Ovis aries: one gene and its partners. The main gene of each other region encodes a partner of the protein of the gene in region 2 in a complex. Links are inferred from orthologs where the notes say so. Each region holds a gene or a part of one and is shown on either strand. Other genes may lie near its edges. The genes, in order: NSMCE2, NSMCE4A, NSMCE3, NSMCE1 and SMC5.

Region 1 (3,519 bases), on a different chromosome or scaffold from region 2:
GCTGAGCTGCCTTGAGAAATTAGGTCAGACCTGATTTTGGTCTCCTTGATTTCCCCCCACCTAAGAGCTTCCTGGTATTTCTTTCATTAAGTCCTTATTTGGTAAAATGTAATCCCATGCAATTTATGTTCTTAAATAATAAAGTTGGTGAAAATGTGGGGTGATTTTCATTGAAAGAACTCTTCTACTATGTGCAGACCATAAAAATGCTTTAGCCTTTGTCAAAATAGGCAACTAGATTCAAGTATCTCTCCCTGGCTTGTCTTTTCCAACCTTAAAAAAAAAAAATCCACAAAATTACTATTGTAATTCCTTGCCTTCAGAACATCTCTCAAAATAAACAGATTCACCAGCTTCTTTATAAATTATAATCTCTTTGACTTGGCTCCACAAAACTGTACAAGCCTGGTGCTAACCAGCATCCTCACTAGCATACATCTAAAGAAATGAAATCCAGGAGGCATGGCACCAGTTTAACTGATAGCACTAACAATGATGCACTAAAAATCACATTTTTGCAAGTAAAGTATATACATCTTACACAGTATCTTACAAGAATATTAATTAATATTTTGCTTGTTTTACCATTTGATATTTTAAAATTTTTAAAAAGATTACTTTAGGAGACATAATAAGGAAAGTTCTCTTAATTCTAGTGTTACCATATGTAAGGAAACCATATATAAGGAAGTTTTCTTAAATATAAATTTACTCTGTAGTAAGGTTTAACTATCCAGACAAACGATGTATACTGCTGGCCTGGGGAAACCTCTTCCTCATTCCTCATTTTAGAGAGAATTAAAGAAATGATACTATAATTCCAATAATTATAATTCTGTTGAATATACACTGTTAATTAGAAGGCACTTCCACATGAGTATATGATTCTAAAGATCTTTATAGTTTTCTCTTATGGAATAATAACTTTGTAAACAATAACAAAGTGGGAAGAAATTTCTGTTTTTTGAATATTTGTCCTTTAATCTGCATTATAAAATATCTAAAAAAAAAAATCAAGAATTATGATCAGATGCTAAATCTGCCATAATTTGTGATTATTGTCTCCAAGAAGAAAAATAAAATAATTTGGTTATTTTGACCAAAGCAAGAACTTCAATTTAATAGCATCTAGAGCAGAAAGGCACTAGCAAATTATTACCTATTTGGAGAATTGTTATCCATCTGGGGAAACAGTACAGATTAATTTAGAGAGATTTGGTAGCTATGCTGTTCAATGAAGAACAACAACCACCAAAAAAACACATAGATTTGAAATGTGGGGAAAAATGCTTACTATTTAAATTTACAGTAAAAGCAAAAGTCTCATCATGATTGCAAAACATTCCAAATTGTGAAACTTAAGTTATTTGTAAAACAGACAAAAGTAAAGCTGCTTCCTCAGTTATTTTTTGAGATCTCATCATCAATTTAAAGAAAATGCTTATATTTAAAAGAAGGCCTATTTAAAAATAGGAATCCTGCTAAATACAAATATGAACATGAAGTAAATTTATCTTATATCATGTATTCCTGTCCCATGTATATGCAAATGAAGATGATATGAAACCAAAGTTAAAAAAAAATTACTTTCTTCAATTCTCTAAGGAATAAAAGAGCCTCAAACCTAAAGAACAGCAACTGATGCTAGTGTAAAAACAATAAAATTACGTAAAATTGGTATGTAGATTATATGGGGAAAAAGGGAGAAAAAAAAAAAGGACATGTACTTCACTGTATAAAAAACATATTTCTGCCAACACTGTCTTCAAGATTTTGGGGGTACAATTAATAATTTTTCTACTCTCATTTTTAAATTAAAATTATGTGCATTAAAAACCTGAGTATAATAAAGTTTCCTAGGAAGGCAAAAAAAGAAAAAGAAAATCACGTGGAATTTATACTACCACCCAGATAGAACAGATCAAGAGGATTTTGGTCTCATATTTGAGAAAACATTGCTCCTACTACTGTAAAACAGCAAAACTAGAATCAAGATACAGTTATTTTAAAGCTTGGCACAGCAGTTTAAAGTTTGAAAACTACCTTTGCTATTTAGTTTTATTTTTCCAATTTCTTTCCCAGCACTGGGACAATAACAGTGTAACTTTCTCTACCTGCTGGGGAATTTTCTTAGCACTTTGTGGAAACCGTTGGCTTTCAGAAATGGATAGGCTGATTTGAACCAAAAGTTAGACAAAATACAGATTTGCAACAACAATAAAAAAGCGATTCAGAAAGAAGATCAAGCCAAGCAGATAAGCAAACTCTATAAAAATCAGTTTTCTGGGACTGTTCATCCAGTCACTTCCCTAATTTAAAAAAGCCAAACCAAAGCAAAGCATGCTGACTTACATTGCTTCTTTAGTTCTTTCAGCTGTTGTTTAAATTGGACAAATTTTTCATTATTTTGAAAGTCTGCATCGGAATTCTTATTCTGTAAAGCCAAAAACTTCTTCTCCACTAATAATTTTAGATCAGGTATTTTCTCTGAACGTTCTTCTTTTACCTGAGGAGGACAATAAAATTACTGTAGTTAAATGTTAACAATGACACAGTCTTGTAACAGTATTTTTCTTGCATTTTATTCAAATATAAATATAGAGGTAGAAAACAGAATTTCCTTCAACAGAGAACCAGGGAGACAGGGCCCTGTTTCAGAAACAGACTGCTAGTGGACAGCTGAGAAATTCATTTACCCCATCTACCCTTTGGTTTCTTACACTATCCCTTCGTTGCCCTGCTAACTTGCCGTGTCCAGACAACTACCACGCAACTGTGTCCCCCACCTTCACCCGAAACTGAGCATGACGGTGCTTCTTCTCATTTAGGTCTATGCGGTCCCTCCTCCTTCTTCTCAAGTCTGTCCTGCTTTCTCTCCAGCACTCCTCTTCTCTGGTCCTAGGCCCCAGCAGGTGAGGCTAGCTCCTCCTTCACAAAATGAGTGGAGACTTTAGCCCCGAACTTCCACCATCTGCAGTCACCTGGAGTAAGTGTCCCTAGTCTGTTCAAAGCTAACCTCTCAATCTTTATTCTCCCCTCCCCCAATATTTTATTATAAAATTTTCAAACATGCAAAAATGTTGAAAGCATCATATTTTACCATTCAAAGTCAAAAGATTATCTGTAAGTCCTCTGCTTTGATTATCTTCTGTCATGGAGGAAAGAATTAGATAATCTTCTTTTGTTTAATTGCTATGCATGCGCCAAATCAAAACTGAAAATTAAGCATGAAATCAAAATACCTAAATCTATATATAAAGTACGGAGTATAGGAACTGTCTTCTCATTGCACTGATGAAGCTCAACCAGTGCTGGATCCATCATCAAAGAGAGGTGTGAAAAACGTGGCGAGGCTTTAGCGACAAGTCATATGTAATTGAAAATTTAAAATAAGTCCTATCAGGCTAAAGAAACAATAAAGCCCAGTTTGGAAACAAGAAGGTACAAAGACAATCAACCGAATAATGCCTAATATCACAAAAATAACAGTACTTCTATCCAGTGCATGGTTATTCTCTA
Region 2 (4,258 bases):
GCCTAGCTTGCTCCTCAAGGCCATTTCACTTGAATTTTTGATTGCCCAAACATTCCTCAGGCTGATGAACCCACTGACTCCAAGTTTTGTATTCATATGCATAATTTTCTCCCCAGTTTTATTTCAGGAGAATTACTGTGACCGTGACAATGAATGAGAGACAAGAGGCAAAAGCTAGGGACTAGTTCCTGGGCTGCTGCAGACCTGACCTCCCCTCCCCGCCGCCAGCCCGTCACTGCCACGAAAGCTGTGAGGAAAATGCCCATCTCCCACGGATGGATTCACATCTCTAGGAGCTGCAGAACATGCAGTCTGTATATATGGAGGATACAGAATCCTTTGTTGGCTGACTGTCTCCTAGGGCCTGGTTGAGTAACTGTGCCTTAAAAAGGCGACCCAGCTAGCATAGTAGAATTGGCCAAGCAGGAAATGATCTGTTAATCAACAACTTTTCAGCAGTGGGTGAATAATAGGGGACCAGGGATCAAGAGCAACCCTGAAGAGACAGCCTGGGCAGGGGGGTTCCCAGCTCAGAAGAGAAGAAAAAGCTAGAGAGAGTGGAGGAGGGGTTGCACCAAGTGAAAAGAAAGAAATGTTCTGGTTCTCAGAGAACATGTGGAGTGGTGGTGTCCAGGCAGCGGCCAGCTCTGTTGACTTCTTCACCTGCATGGGTCTGCACTCTCCTCTTCTGCTCCCATAGAATTTAGAGAAAGGCCAGGAGGGAAAAGTAGTCTGAGGACTTGTCCCCGGGCTCTGTGACCCAGTGCCCACACCATCAGGGGCTGCCTGACCTGTCCTGTCTTCAAACACAGAGACCCCTCTTAGCACTAACATTGCTGCTGCTTTTCATTCAAACCAAGCTTTTATTTCAGAGGCCCCTTCGCCCCCAACAATGCTAGAGTTCAGTGCTGAGATTCTTCTCTTTCTCAGGCCCCTCCCCTCACTGGAGACCAACAGGGCCACCTGTAGACCTGGCCATCCCCACTGGGTTATATTAGGTGGACCAAAACAAGGAGCTTAGGGACGGGAGGTCGGGAGGAAGGCAGGAAAAGAAACAGGATGTCAGAAGCCAGCTCAGTTCTTTCTTTAATACATCCAATGCATCCTAGGTAGTCAATAGAGTAGAAAGATAAGACATAAAAATTCTCAGCAGTCAATACAATAGAAATTTAATACACAGAAAGTTCTCAAACTTGAACAAGCAACAGAATCTCCTGGAGCGCCTGTTAAAACTGGCTGCTGCTCCCCACCCCCAAATAAAGCCCTTACTACTTGTTTGTACTTGTGAAAGTGAAAGTGAAATTGTGTCCAACTCGCCCACCAGGCTCCTCCGTCCATGGGATTCTCTAGGCAAGAATACTGGAGCGGGTTAACCATTTCCTTCTCCAGGGGATCGTCCCTGACCCAGGGATCGAACCCAGGTCTCCCGCATTGTGGGCAGACGCTTTAACCCCTGATCCATCAGGGAAGCAGTGCTTAGGGACTGATAAGTGCACAATCATAGAAGTGGTGCTACAAGGGAAAAGGTTCCAAAACTAGTAAAGCACTCTTATAAATATGGGGGTTGTTTGGTGTCAAGCATTCGGTTCTCATGCAAAACTAATTAAAATTACCCTAAAATATATGATCACAGAAAGCTTCCTTCCATAAAATAAAGAATTACCTTCATTAAAGAGAGTGTTGGCCTCTTCAAGGACCTCTGTTAACTTGTCGCTGGCATTCAATATATCCTCCCGGTTTTCTATTTTAAAAAAAATACAAACTTTGGGAAAGGTGCTCATCATAGGCTAACAAGTCATTGACAGAGTAACTAGCAGCAGCTGGAGAGCCAAGTCCCAGCCCCCACCCCCACCCCCCGGTGGAATTATTTTCAGCTGTATTTCTTTAACCAAAACGGCCTGACAACAGAAAAGATGACTACCCCATTAGCAGAATGAACTTGAAAAGGGGACCCACTTCGCTCCCCCTAACCTTCACCCATGGGCTTCCACGCCTTCTGCAGCCTCTAAAGAGCGCTCTTAATCAGAAGGACTCTCTAACTCTGCAAGCCACAGCTTGCACAGCCGGGCCACCCAGAGTTTCAGAATAGGTAGGTCCAGTACACTGGGGAATTTGCATTTCTGGCAGCTGCCTCGGGCGGGCGACTGCCGGCGGGGAACCGCTGGATCTAAGAAAATGCGCCCCGGCTCCTCGTGCCTCCTCTCCCTGGCTTCCAGACCGCGCCCGGCCTCGGGCGGTCCCGCCCCTGGGGGACTCGCGCGCCCCCGCCAAGGTCGTGCCTTGCGATCCGCACGACAGATGCGCGAGTGCCTCGTAAACCCCGAACCCGGGAACGGCCGGGCGGCGCGGGGCTGGTCCCGGGCTCCACGAACCAGCTGGGCCGCGCAGGGCCTGCGCGCCGTTCCCGCCTCGCTACCCTGCCTTACGTTGGACCGAGTTGATAAGCGCCCGGTACTGATGGCGGATCTGGCGGCACAGACTGGGGTCGGTCTCCTCCTCCAGGCTCGCCGGGTCTATCATCTCGTCCCCGGAATCCGACGGTTCGGTATCCTCCAAGCCCGGGCGCTCTGGGGCCTCCCTGCGCTCGGGCGCGGCGCCGCGGCGGGACCCGGGCGACAGCGGGGACCGCGAGCGGGAGCGGGAGCGGGTGCGATCCCGGTGCGGGTCGCGGCCCCGGCCCCGGCCCTCGGGCCGGCGGCCGCTGCTGTCCCCGGACATAGCGCCAAGCCTCCCTGCAACTTTGGAACGGCGGAAGTTCGCGCCAGAAACTGAAAGCCCTGCACACCCTAAGCGCCTGCTCCCCCCGGAACGCGGCTCCCTTGCCGGCGCGAGCGCACAGCGACGCCTGTGGCTGGAGGCCGGCGGCAGGGGCCGAGGCCGGGGGCGCAGTGGCTACAGCGCCGCCAGGCGGGCACCGGGCGGCTCAGGCCCCTGACTTTGCACGCCCCTGACGTTGGATACCCTGTGATCCCACTTTAGATGCTTATAATCTTCGTGGTCTGGTCCTCCGTGCCCACCTTATTAGACTTTCACCTTCCCCGGGGTCTCCCTGGCTCTCCCGGACCCAGCCACACCCTTAAAACAAATACTTAGCATTCTTGCAGCTGGAAATTCATTCCAAGCTCCAGACAGAAATATCTGGGACATTGCCAGGTAATGGGCACGCAGACCGTGTTTGTTGATCGAGTCTCCTGCAGTTAAGCAGGATGCGCGCTGGACATGGAGACGAAAGATGAGATTCTGCCACTCACTATCTGTGACCTTAGTTCCTTGAGCCATTATGGCAGGGACCCAGTGGAGTTTATGAACAGCTGGTAATCCCCCCTCCACTTTTTTTTTTTTTTTGAAAGTGAAAAGTGTTAATCGCTCAGTCCTGTCTAACTGTTTGGGACTTCATGGACTCCAGTAGCCTACCAGGCTCCTCTGTCTATAGAATTCTCCAGGCAAGAATACTGAAGTGGGTTCTTCAGTATACTGAAGAATACTGAAGTGGAAACCCTCAATTCCTGCATTGCAGACAGATTCTTTACTGTCTGAGTTTATTTTTGACTGCACTGGGCCCTTGTTGCTGGGCAGGCAGGCTTTCTCTAGTTGCCACCAGTGGGGGGCTTATCACTAGTTGTGGTTCTTGGGCTTCTCATTGCCTTGGCTTCTCTTGTTTTGGAGCATGGGTTATAGACTTCTGGGCTCAGTTGTGGCACAGGGGTTTGGTTGCCCTGTGGTATGTGGGATCCTCAGATGAATTCTTAACCACTGGACCACCAGGGAAGTCCCAATCCCACCTTTTTTGAGGACAGAACAACTGAACAAACAGAAAATTGACAAGGTTCCTTGATTTTCTTGGAGTAAACTCTGTTAACCATCGTTTTTAAATATCTACACCTTGACAGTTTATGTTCATATTTGGTCCTCAAGCTGAAAGATTCTAAAATACTTTTAAATGGGTCTAAAAACTATGAAATTATATTAATACAGTTTTAAAGATAAGTATATGAATCTCCCACGTATTTTGGATTGTATTGCAAATATTTCTCAAGAGTTCTTTTCGGTGCTGAGAACCCATTTTTTTTCAAAGGAACAATGTCAGTTGAGTTACTACCCAAGTCTACAAAAATACCATGTTGTGAATCAGATGTACTCAGTTTGAGATAAGCACTATTCTTTGCAGCATATATCACACCTCACTCCTGCTTAACCTGGATTTCAGGAAAGGTATGCCCTGAAATGAATCATGGTAATCTCATCCCCATTCCCCGAA
Region 3 (3,308 bases), on a different chromosome or scaffold from region 2:
ACAACAAAATTTTATGCTACCAACATTTAATGAAATTTTAATAAGGTTGTGTTTTGATGTTATTATTCAAATAATGTGTTGTGAATTGCTTTCCTTTGAATATATTTGCATTAAAGAGGAACTCAACTTGATTTGGTTCTTTGAACAGTTTACCCACTTTCTGGTAGCTTTAAGAAGACAAAGAGGGAAATTAAGTTTCGCCTTTGCAAGTCAGTAAATAGAAAAGGAACCCATTTGCTAGGATCTGTGGATGTAATGGCAGCAGATTACAGATGGTTTGAGTTAATGAAATGACTCACGTTGGTTACTAAAGCAGCACAATTAAAAATATAAAGTAGATATTTCACAGATTATGACGGATGATAACCTGGAGTTTTCGCTTTCTCATTGATCTCTAAGGCTAGAGACTCACATGTTAGCAATTCTTGGTCAGAGATGCCCCAAATTAAATGGTAGTCTCTTGAGACCGACTTCTCTGTTGGTAGCATTCTCTTAGCCATTTCTGCCAGATCTGTGGTTGTGAGCCCAAGGCCCATCTTTCCATGAGCACGTGCTTCCAATAGATAAAACTCCCCGGATCAAGCAAAAACCCTCCACTTATCGTGCTTTCTGGGGTGACTGTGCCATAGCTGTCCGGCTGAAAGAGTTGATTACACAGAATATCAAGGCTGAAAGGTGAAAAGACACGGAGAAAGAGCCCTGTATGCGAGACGAAGCTGTTTACCATTGTTTCTAAACAGACTCGGGCTTTAGAGAAAGTAACTGGTGGAAAATGGTGAGAAGGGGCTGGCGAAGGCAAACTAGTAGTCCTTGGGGTCTTTTAATTGTCTTTACGTCGTTTCGTGTGGAAAGAAATTGCTCTTACTTCCTTTCCACGCTCTTCGCCGTATTTTTCTCCCATATTCATCCTGGGAGTTTCCTTCACCTACATACAGCCCTGATTTCAGAGCTTTTGACTCTCAAGTTTCTACAGCCCTGGCCTGGGTACGATCCTGAGCCAAGCCGCACACTCGCTCAGGAGCTCTGCTTCCTGTTCGCCATCTGCAGGGTTTGGTAATAACGACGACACTTAATCATAATACAGCCCGAAAGGCTGCAAGGAATACCCGCTTCTTACCGCCGCCGTCCGCGGCCGCTGGCCAGACCGGAGCGACCTCTAGACGCGGCGCGGCCTCGATGACGCAACGCGCAGCCTCCGTGACGCAAGCGCGCAGCTTCTGTGACGCAAGCGCGCAGCTTCTGTGACACAACCGCTTCTCCTCCGGGCCCTCCCACAGCCCCACGGACTAACGGCTAACCGACCTTCAATCCCTGCCACCGCTGCCGGTTACGGGGAGTCCGCGCGGTCGGGGTCCCGCCGCCGCGACATGTCGCAAAAGCCGAAGAGCCGGGGCCGCCCCAGTTCCCAGGGCGAGCGGGAGCCGAGTGGCGGCGGCGAGGAGGCCCCGAGCACGTCTCGCGGGCCGGGCGGCGCCGCGTCGCAGCGGCGGGCCCAGGCCTCCCCCGCGCCGGGGCCGCGCTCGCAGAAGCAGCTGGAGCTGAAGGTGGCGGAGCTGGTGCAGTTCTTGTTGATCAAGGACCAGAGGAAGATCCCTATCCGCCGCACCGACATCCTGCGGCATGTGGTCGGCGACTACAAGGATGTGCTCCCAGAGCTGCTGCGGCGGGCGGCCGAGCGCCTGGAGTACGTGTTCGGGTACCGGCTGGTGGAGCTGGAGCCGCGCAGCAACACCTACATTCTGGTCAACACGCTGGAACCGGTGGAAGAGGACGCGGAGGTGCGCGGAGACCAGGGAACGCCCACCACTGGGCTGCTCATGATCGTGCTGGGGCTCATCTTCATGAAAGGCAATACCATCAAGGAGACCGAGGTCTGGGACTTCCTGCGGCGCCTCGGGGTACACCCCGACAAGAAGCACCTCATCTTCGGGGAACCCAAGAAGCTCATCACCGAGGACTTCGTGCGGCAGCGATACCTGGATTACCGGCGCATCCCGCACACGGACCCCGTGGACTACGAGCTCCAGTGGGGCCCGCGCACCAACCTGGAGACCAGCAAGATGAAGGTGCTCAAGTTTGTGGCTAAAGTCCACAACCAGGACCCCAAGGACTGGCCGGCGCAGTACTGCGAGGCTTTGGCGGACGAGGAGGCCAGGGCCAGACCCCAGCCCGCGGGCCCGAGTCCAGCCACTGCCTCTGCCCCAACCCCTGCTCCTGTCTCTTGAAATCTGAGACACACCCCAGGGCCCTCTCCCTCCCCGGGGGAAGGGCTGGAGGTGGGAGGAAGCATCTTGATTGTTTAAATGCGTGGTAGTTCCAGGAAGTGTTTGCAAACTTTAATTCTTGTAATGTTGTAAGTCGTTTTGATTCTAAAATTTCATTTAGAGGGTGACTTGTTTTGTTTTGATTTGCTTCAGTGTCTGTGTTTTTTGGTGTAAAGATCTTGTTAGCTTTATAAAGCGAATTGGAAAACTTCCTACCCGGATCTGGAACTGCCAAGGAAATATAAGCGAACTGGCCCTTGTCCGGCCTTTGAACTGCCCCACTCTGTAAAGGAAAAGTCTTCGTAAATTGAAAACGAAAGTGTAATTGCCTATATCCCCTATTACCTTAACGCAGCTATTTAAAAAATCTGTTTTCTATGCATGTAAGCATTTTGAGTCATTCTAAGCAATGTGTGTATTGTAGTTTTTCCAAATAACTTTTTACATTGATAATTACTATGCTGTGTGGCTGACCATTTTGTTCAATTTTTTTTGCTACTATAGTTATAATAAATACTGTATTTTTGAAGCAATTTAGCATTATGCATTTATTTTAACCCTAACTCATGAGAAATTTCATGACTGAAAACTAGCATCATAAGGAAAAAAGAAAACAATTTTTGTTACATATCATTGAGGTAAATAGTGTTTTGTTGAAGTTGCTTTACTTTTATATGTGTGACATACTGGATCATGATGTAAAATTATTTCTGTGGGTCATGGAAAAGTTGATAAAAGTCTTAGTGATTAACCATGCCTATTTGGGAATCAGACTAGTGGGTTCAGAGTCTGCCTCACTTACAAATTTAAGGAGATTAAGTTGTACACAGACCTTTCCTTACCTATAAAACGGGTTGATGCTGCCTGTTACTGTGTATGGTAGTGTGATAATTAGGTATGGAAGTTTATGTAAAGTTATGGGCACAAATTTGTTTAAATTGGGCTTTTTTTCCTTGGCTTAGGACTGTTAAAGTTTTTTCTTTTTAACTTTTTCTTTCATTCTCTTGTAAATCATGACTGTCCTTCTAGTCCGACTCTACTGTG
Region 4 (2,341 bases), on a different chromosome or scaffold from region 2:
GACCCTGAGGGAGAATCTGGAAGCAGTGCAGAGGGGAGGGGAGCTGGGCCAGCCTGGGTGGTGGCCGTGGGGCTGAGGGCCATCTGGCAGGTGGGCTGCACAGGATTTGGTGGTAGGCGTGATGCAGGAGACCCAGGGGAAGGTGGCACCCAGGCCAACTTCCTGGGTCAGGCCTGGGGCAGCTGCAGGCGAGGCAGAGCGCCCAGAGATGACACACAGCCACAGCCCCTCCCGCAGCCTCGTGCCGTGCAGGCCGGTGCACCTCGGGCCAGGGAGAGTGTGGGGCATGGGGCGGGCCCAAGGCTAAGGCTCCCACACATCCAGTAAGTCGGGCTGGCCAGTGTGAGTAGGACCAGTGACCAGAGCTAGGGACTGAAAGCAACGCTGTCCTGAGCAAGTGGCCTCGGGCCATGCTGGGCAGGAGGCGCTCGGCCAGCCGCAGCCCAGACCCGAGCCCAGGCCCCCAGCTCTCAGTGAGTGCCAAGAGAGGGGCGCGCCACCAGATGAGGCCGCAGGAGCTGCTGAGCAAGTTTATTCCAAACCTGTTAACAAGCAAACATAAAAGGTAAAAAGGTGATCCACGCGAACCGTGAAACTGATGCCTCTCTTCCAAATGGGGCAGGCGGTCACTCCCCCGAAGGCGGCGGCCTGGCTAGTGCTGCCGGGACCGTAAGGACCTTTTGTTTGATCTGGACATACCGGTCTCCCTCTCCTTCTCGGGGTCGAAGACTTCTGCACAGAAAAGCCAGAAGGCACTGTGAGTGGCGGGGCTGGTGGGCGCCCCCAGCCATAAGCCTGTGCCGAGGACTCTGTCCCACGGAACAGTTCACCCCCCAGGGAGGCAGGATGAGCCCGTCTGGGGATGCACTTTCACCTCCCCTCCAGAGACAGCTGCAGGGGAGCGTGTTTACTATACCAGACCCTCTCGCGTCTCAGGGTTTCTGCTGGGTTCCAGAGCACCTTGCGGAACCAACACCAGCAAGCAGGCCGGCCTCCAATGACCACAGAAGGTACTTCAGTACATGGGGCCCAGGGCCCGCACACACATGGAGCCCTTGTTGGGGTGCCCTGCCGCCCCTCGCCCCGGTGCCCCCTCAATGCTGGGCACGCACACTCTGGCATACACACAGCCCTGCCACAGGCCAGGAGGAAAGCAAGTGGCTGGGAGACACAGACCTGGCACCTCGTGGGGCCAGTAGTCGTTACAGTGGGGACAGTGCGGCTCCGAGTTGGACTGGAAGTACTTAGCCACACAAGGTAAGTGCATCCTGATTCCACACGTCTCACAGCTTTGACCCTGAAATGAGAAAGTGATGGCTTGAGAACACATCTCTGTGTTCATAACCCTTCAGCGGACTGCAAAGAAGACATCCCACTGGCTTGGTAATTTTGTCTTCCAGGCCCCAAACGGACAATGAGAACAACTCTGAGTCTTCAGTGCAGTGGGTTTTAGTAAAGCAGCTGACAAGTGAGTGCAAAGGGAAGAAGCTCAAGGCTCCAGAGGCCAGAGCAGGGCAGAGTGGGTGGCGGCCAGGACCTTGGAGCAGCAAGGCCGCCCCCAAGCCTGGACTCTGAGCATGAGTGGGCCCTGGAGGGGGCATGAAGACGACCACGGCTTTCAGAAGGCACTTCAGCAGCGTGGGGCAGAGCTTTAAACAGCCGTGTGCACACTCTGTTCTAGAAATTCCACTCTTGGGATTCCAACCCAAGAAACATAACCACTAGGTGCCCAAGGATGGATGTGCCAAGAGGCCCAGCCCAGTGCAACTGATAAATGCAAAAAGAGAATGAAAAAGGAGGAAACACAGGGGCTTCCCTGGGCCTCCTGTGCCTTCCAGCACAGGGGGTGCAGGCGCGATCCCTGGTCAGGGAGCTGACGTCCTACCTGCCTCACTGCCGAAAAACCGAACCATAAAAAAACAGAAGCAGCGCTGTAACAAACTCAATGAAGGCCTTAAAAAAGGCATCAGAAAAGTCTAAAGCAAAAAGGCAAAAGCAGAATCATCCAGCACTGGTCCAGCTGCTCTGCTCTGAAGCTGTACAATGTACTCAGAGGCCAACAGACGACAGGAATCTGTGGCTGAGACAGAAAGATGGTTGGCGCGTTGCTGCCACGATAATAGGAGACACAGACTTCTGAGAGCACGCGTTGTAGCCCTGGGGCGACAGTGGGGGTCCTGGGCAAAGGCACACAGCAGGGCAGGGGGCAAAAATAAAAAGAGCCTGGGACAGAGCAGAAGGAGCAGGGAGAAGCAGGCCTTCGTGCACTTGTCGTCAGATGCTTCTGAGGAGATGCCCGTGGTCAGAGGCCTGGGCCCTGAGTGAGCCCTGGGCCCTGAGT
Region 5 (3,519 bases), on a different chromosome or scaffold from region 2:
TTACTTTGTTTGTGCCCTTTGGAAACTTACTTCTCCTTTTCACAAGCCCATCCATACATTTAAACAGCTGTATCTTACACTATTTCTAAGGCTGAAGGTGTTACACACTTGGAGAATTCTCTAGGTATATAGCAAACTACTTCTGTAAAATGGAGATCTTCCCTCAGTGTCTCTATCTGCCAACTTATTATTTATATTCAAGCACAACACATTTGCCATACCCAAGGAATTAAGATGAAGAAATTGATTTGTTACCAAAAGCGATTCATGGTTTTGAATTTTGTTAAAAGTACCTATGTTAACTTACCTTATCTGCCCGTCCCATGAAAGCAGGTTTGCCTGCTAATCCAAGGCAAATGGCACACACAATGCTGGACTTCCCTGTTCCATTAGCTCCAATAATCATATTCAAGTGGGGCCCAGGAGATACTTCACAGACATCATATGTCCTAAATTATAAAGAGGTGAGATTACTAAGTAGAAACAAGAAGTGAAGAATATTTTCCTACTAAAGCACTTTTTCTTGCTTTACCCGTATCACTAACTATAGGTTTCCTCAAATTCTTTAAAAAGCAACGAACCTTATAAATTTTAATGTAACATTAGTTTATAGGTTGTTAATAATTTACAGGGAAAAAAAAGTCTGTCAGTGAGAGAAATTAAAAAGTGACAAAGTATATCTAAAATTAGAACATTCATGGGAAAATAAAACTTCACATAATTTTTCTCAAATATTAAGTCTGCTGAATAGAGTGAAGTTTGATATAATTTATTCTTTAGTAATTCTAATACATGAGAAAGTCCATCAAAGCTACTGTACAAATGGTTTTTAAACAAATTATATGTAAGTAAAGTGACAGCTCATTCTAAATTTGTGTATTTTACGTTTATATTTCTCTTGAATTAAAATGCTTACTAGAAACTTATCATAGTCAATCGAATTACTTTTATTATAATTAGAAAACTGAAGATATATCAACTCAATAGTTTAATTTATTAATTTTTTAAAATAACATGAATTTCCTTTAATATGCTGCCAGACATTCACCAAAGGATCTATTTGTAGCACAAATTAAATTTTATTCCTATGAGAGGAAACAAGAGTGCATCATCACCAAGCACGTCCGTAACTTTCCCTCATACTAGAAAGCAGCATGCTGTCCTGCTCTCTACCTGCAACAGGAGCATCTAACCCATATTAGTCTTCAGGGAGAGCTATGGCAAGATGTGAAGGAAACTGACTCAGTATCTTTGTACCATGTCCTTGAATATCTGGAACTGGACCCCATAAGTAATGTCCCGTGCCCACAGTTTCAGTTGGCTACCAACTAATTCCCCAAGAGTAAAAGCTTAGCCTATTACTAACTTGCTAAGTATTCAAATAACTTAACCAAGCACACTTCAACTTTAATACTCCAAGAAATTTACAATTCTGAAATTCCAAGTCGTAATAAAATAAATACAGGTGGTAAATAAAAGTATTTTCCTGGCAGGTTTCCAACCCCACTTCTCCGCAGAGCATCCACCTGTCTTTTCAGAAGCTTTATTCTAGTAACAGCAGAGTCTTGAAACAACCCTTTACAACACTGAAAATAAAACTAGTTTGGGAATTTCAGACATCTGGAAAATTATCTGACTTGGAGCTTCTTAATCAACACATGCAGCTCCATTCTTTTAATATTTGATTTTCCTGCTGTGAACTGTCTTACTAAAACAGTGATGCAACTGGTATTTAAGCAAACAAATACAGCAGAAAAAAGCATGAAAACTTCTGACCTATATTGTTACACACAAACACTATAAACACGAAAAGCTGCCAAAAACTAAATAAAGCCTCTGCATTTAAAAGAGAGAGAAAAAAAGAAACCATTCTGACCCTACAATATGTTTATTGGAAATTCCCTTTTGTGAGTTCCCTTTTCTCTGACCTCCCCCTGAAAAAGCTAATTTCAGAGGCCACCCTCTTCTGAGTTTACATACTTTATCTAGTACCTCATATATTCTCCATGGCCTCAGGTAACATCTACATACTGAAAGTCGGTTCAGATGACCTACAGATGCAATTCCCACCTCAAGAACTCTATTTGGATGTCCTACAACGGTCACTTCAAACTTAACATATTCAAAACTATTACACTGGTGCAAAAGTAACTGTGGTTTTGCATTGTTGAACTTTGCTGTTTGATATTGGAATAGATTTTCAAATAAATGTGGTTACGTTATACATCATTTTAATGCACATTTTTTTTTTTTGCTAATGACTTATCACTCGCTGTTTATTTTATATTTATTTTAGACCAGGGAAATGATGTTAAACAAAATGCAAATTCGAGCAATTTTCTTATTCGAGTTCAAAATGGGTTCAAAATTGGTTGTAAGGCAGCAGAGATAACTCACAACATCAACCACGCATTTGGCCCAGGAACTGCTAGTGAAACTGCACTGGCTCAAGAAGTTTTGCAAAGGAGATGAGAGCCTTGAGGATGAGCAGCACAGTGGCCGGCAACTGGAAGTTGACAACAACCAATTGAGAGGATTATCAATGCTGAACCTCTTACAACTACACCAGAAGTTGCCCAAGAACTCAATGTCAATCCTTCTGTGGTCATTCGGCATTTGAAGCAAATTGGAAAGGTGGAAAAGCTCGTTAAGTGGGTACCTCATGAATAGACCAAGAAAAAAAAACCCGTTGTTTTGAAGTGTCATCTTCTCTTATTGTATGCAACAACAAACCATGTGATGAAAAGTGGATTTTATATGACAACCGGTGATAACCTGCTCAGTGGTTGGACCACGAAGAAACTCCAAAGCACTTTCCAAAGCCAAAATTGCACCAAAAAAAGGTCATGGTCACTCTCTTGGTGGTCTGCTGCCCATCTGATATACTACAGCTTTCTGAATCCTGGTGCAGAGAAACCATTACATCTGAGAAGTATGCTCAGCAAATCGATGAGATGCACAGAAATTGCAATGCCTGCAGCCAGCACTGGCCAACAGAATGGGCCCAATTCATCTCCATAACGCCTGACCATATATCACAAAACCAACTCTTCAAAAGTTGAAAGAACTGGGCTAAGAAGTTTTGCCTCAACAGCCATATAACCTATCACCAACCAATTACCACTTTTTCAAGCATCTCAACAACGTTTTGCAGGCAAATCACTTCCACAACCAGCATGAGACAGAAAACACTTTCCAAGAGTTCGTCGAATCCTGAAGGACAGATTTTTATGCTACAAGAATAAACAAACTTATTTCTTGTTGGCAAAAATGTGTTGACTGTAATGGTTGCTATTTTGATCAATAAAGATGTGTTTGAGCCTAGCTATAATAATTTAAAATTCACAGTCCAAAACCGGAATTACTTTTTCATAAACCTTTAAAAAAAAACATCTAAAACCACTCTTGTAGTCTCTTAGTAAAGGATATAATTATTCATTCCTCTGCCCACAGCAGAAACCTAGGCATCATCTTTGACTCTTTTTGTCTCCTCACCTCTGTTCACGCTACCCACCCATT

Evidence for each region.
Region 1: NSMCE4A (region 2) and NSMCE2 share a complex: the UniProt entries of both Homo sapiens proteins name them as parts of the SMC5-SMC6 complex. The link is inferred for Ovis aries from reciprocal best matches to the Homo sapiens genes NSMCE4A and NSMCE2.
Region 3: NSMCE4A (region 2) and NSMCE3 share a complex: the UniProt entries of both Homo sapiens proteins name them as parts of the SMC5-SMC6 complex. The link is inferred for Ovis aries from reciprocal best matches to the Homo sapiens genes NSMCE4A and NSMCE3.
Region 4: NSMCE4A (region 2) and NSMCE1 share a complex: the UniProt entries of both Homo sapiens proteins name them as parts of the SMC5-SMC6 complex. The link is inferred for Ovis aries from reciprocal best matches to the Homo sapiens genes NSMCE4A and NSMCE1.
Region 5: NSMCE4A (region 2) and SMC5 share a complex: the UniProt entries of both Homo sapiens proteins name them as parts of the SMC5-SMC6 complex. The link is inferred for Ovis aries from reciprocal best matches to the Homo sapiens genes NSMCE4A and SMC5.

The regions. Positions count from the first base shown.
Region 1 is NC_056062.1:28,029,698-28,033,216, forward strand, and holds part of NSMCE2 (E3 SUMO-protein ligase NSE2), read right to left. Parts: intron 2,507-3,519; coding exon 2,353-2,506; intron 1-2,352. UniProt on the Homo sapiens protein: E3 SUMO-protein ligase component of the SMC5-SMC6 complex, a complex involved in DNA double-strand break repair by homologous recombination. Is not be required for the stability of the complex.
Region 2 is NC_056075.1:41,386,846-41,391,103, forward strand, and holds the start of NSMCE4A (non-structural maintenance of chromosomes element 4 homolog A), read right to left. Parts: upstream 2,811-4,258; 5' UTR 2,719-2,810; coding exon 2,427-2,718; intron 2,248-2,426; exon of another isoform or gene 1,982-2,247; coding exon of another isoform or gene 1,972-1,981; intron 1,742-1,971; coding exon 1,664-1,741; exon of another isoform or gene 117-1,663; intron 1-116. UniProt on the Homo sapiens protein: Component of the SMC5-SMC6 complex, a complex involved in DNA double-strand breaks by homologous recombination. The complex may promote sister chromatid homologous recombination by recruiting the SMC1-SMC3 cohesin complex to double-strand breaks.
Region 3 is NC_056071.1:25,979,602-25,982,909, reverse strand, and holds NSMCE3 (non-structural maintenance of chromosomes element 3 homolog), read left to right. Parts: upstream 1-1,243; 5' UTR 1,244-1,367; coding exon 1,368-2,225; 3' UTR 2,226-2,797; downstream 2,798-3,308. UniProt on the Homo sapiens protein: Component of the SMC5-SMC6 complex, a complex involved in repair of DNA double-strand breaks by homologous recombination. The complex may promote sister chromatid homologous recombination by recruiting the SMC1-SMC3 cohesin complex to double-strand breaks.
Region 4 is NC_056077.1:25,321,078-25,323,418, forward strand, and holds the end of NSMCE1 (non-structural maintenance of chromosomes element 1 homolog), read right to left. Parts: intron 1,298-2,341; coding exon 1,016-1,297; 3' UTR 993-1,015; coding exon of another isoform or gene 871-992; 3' UTR 733-870; coding exon of another isoform or gene 653-732; 3' UTR 517-652; downstream 1-516. UniProt on the Homo sapiens protein: RING-type zinc finger-containing E3 ubiquitin ligase that assembles with melanoma antigen protein (MAGE) to catalyze the direct transfer of ubiquitin from E2 ubiquitin-conjugating enzyme to a specific substrate.
Region 5 is NC_056055.1:66,422,237-66,425,755, forward strand, and holds part of SMC5 (structural maintenance of chromosomes protein 5), read right to left. Parts: intron 450-3,519; coding exon 308-449; intron 1-307. UniProt on the Homo sapiens protein: Core component of the SMC5-SMC6 complex, a complex involved in repair of DNA double-strand breaks by homologous recombination.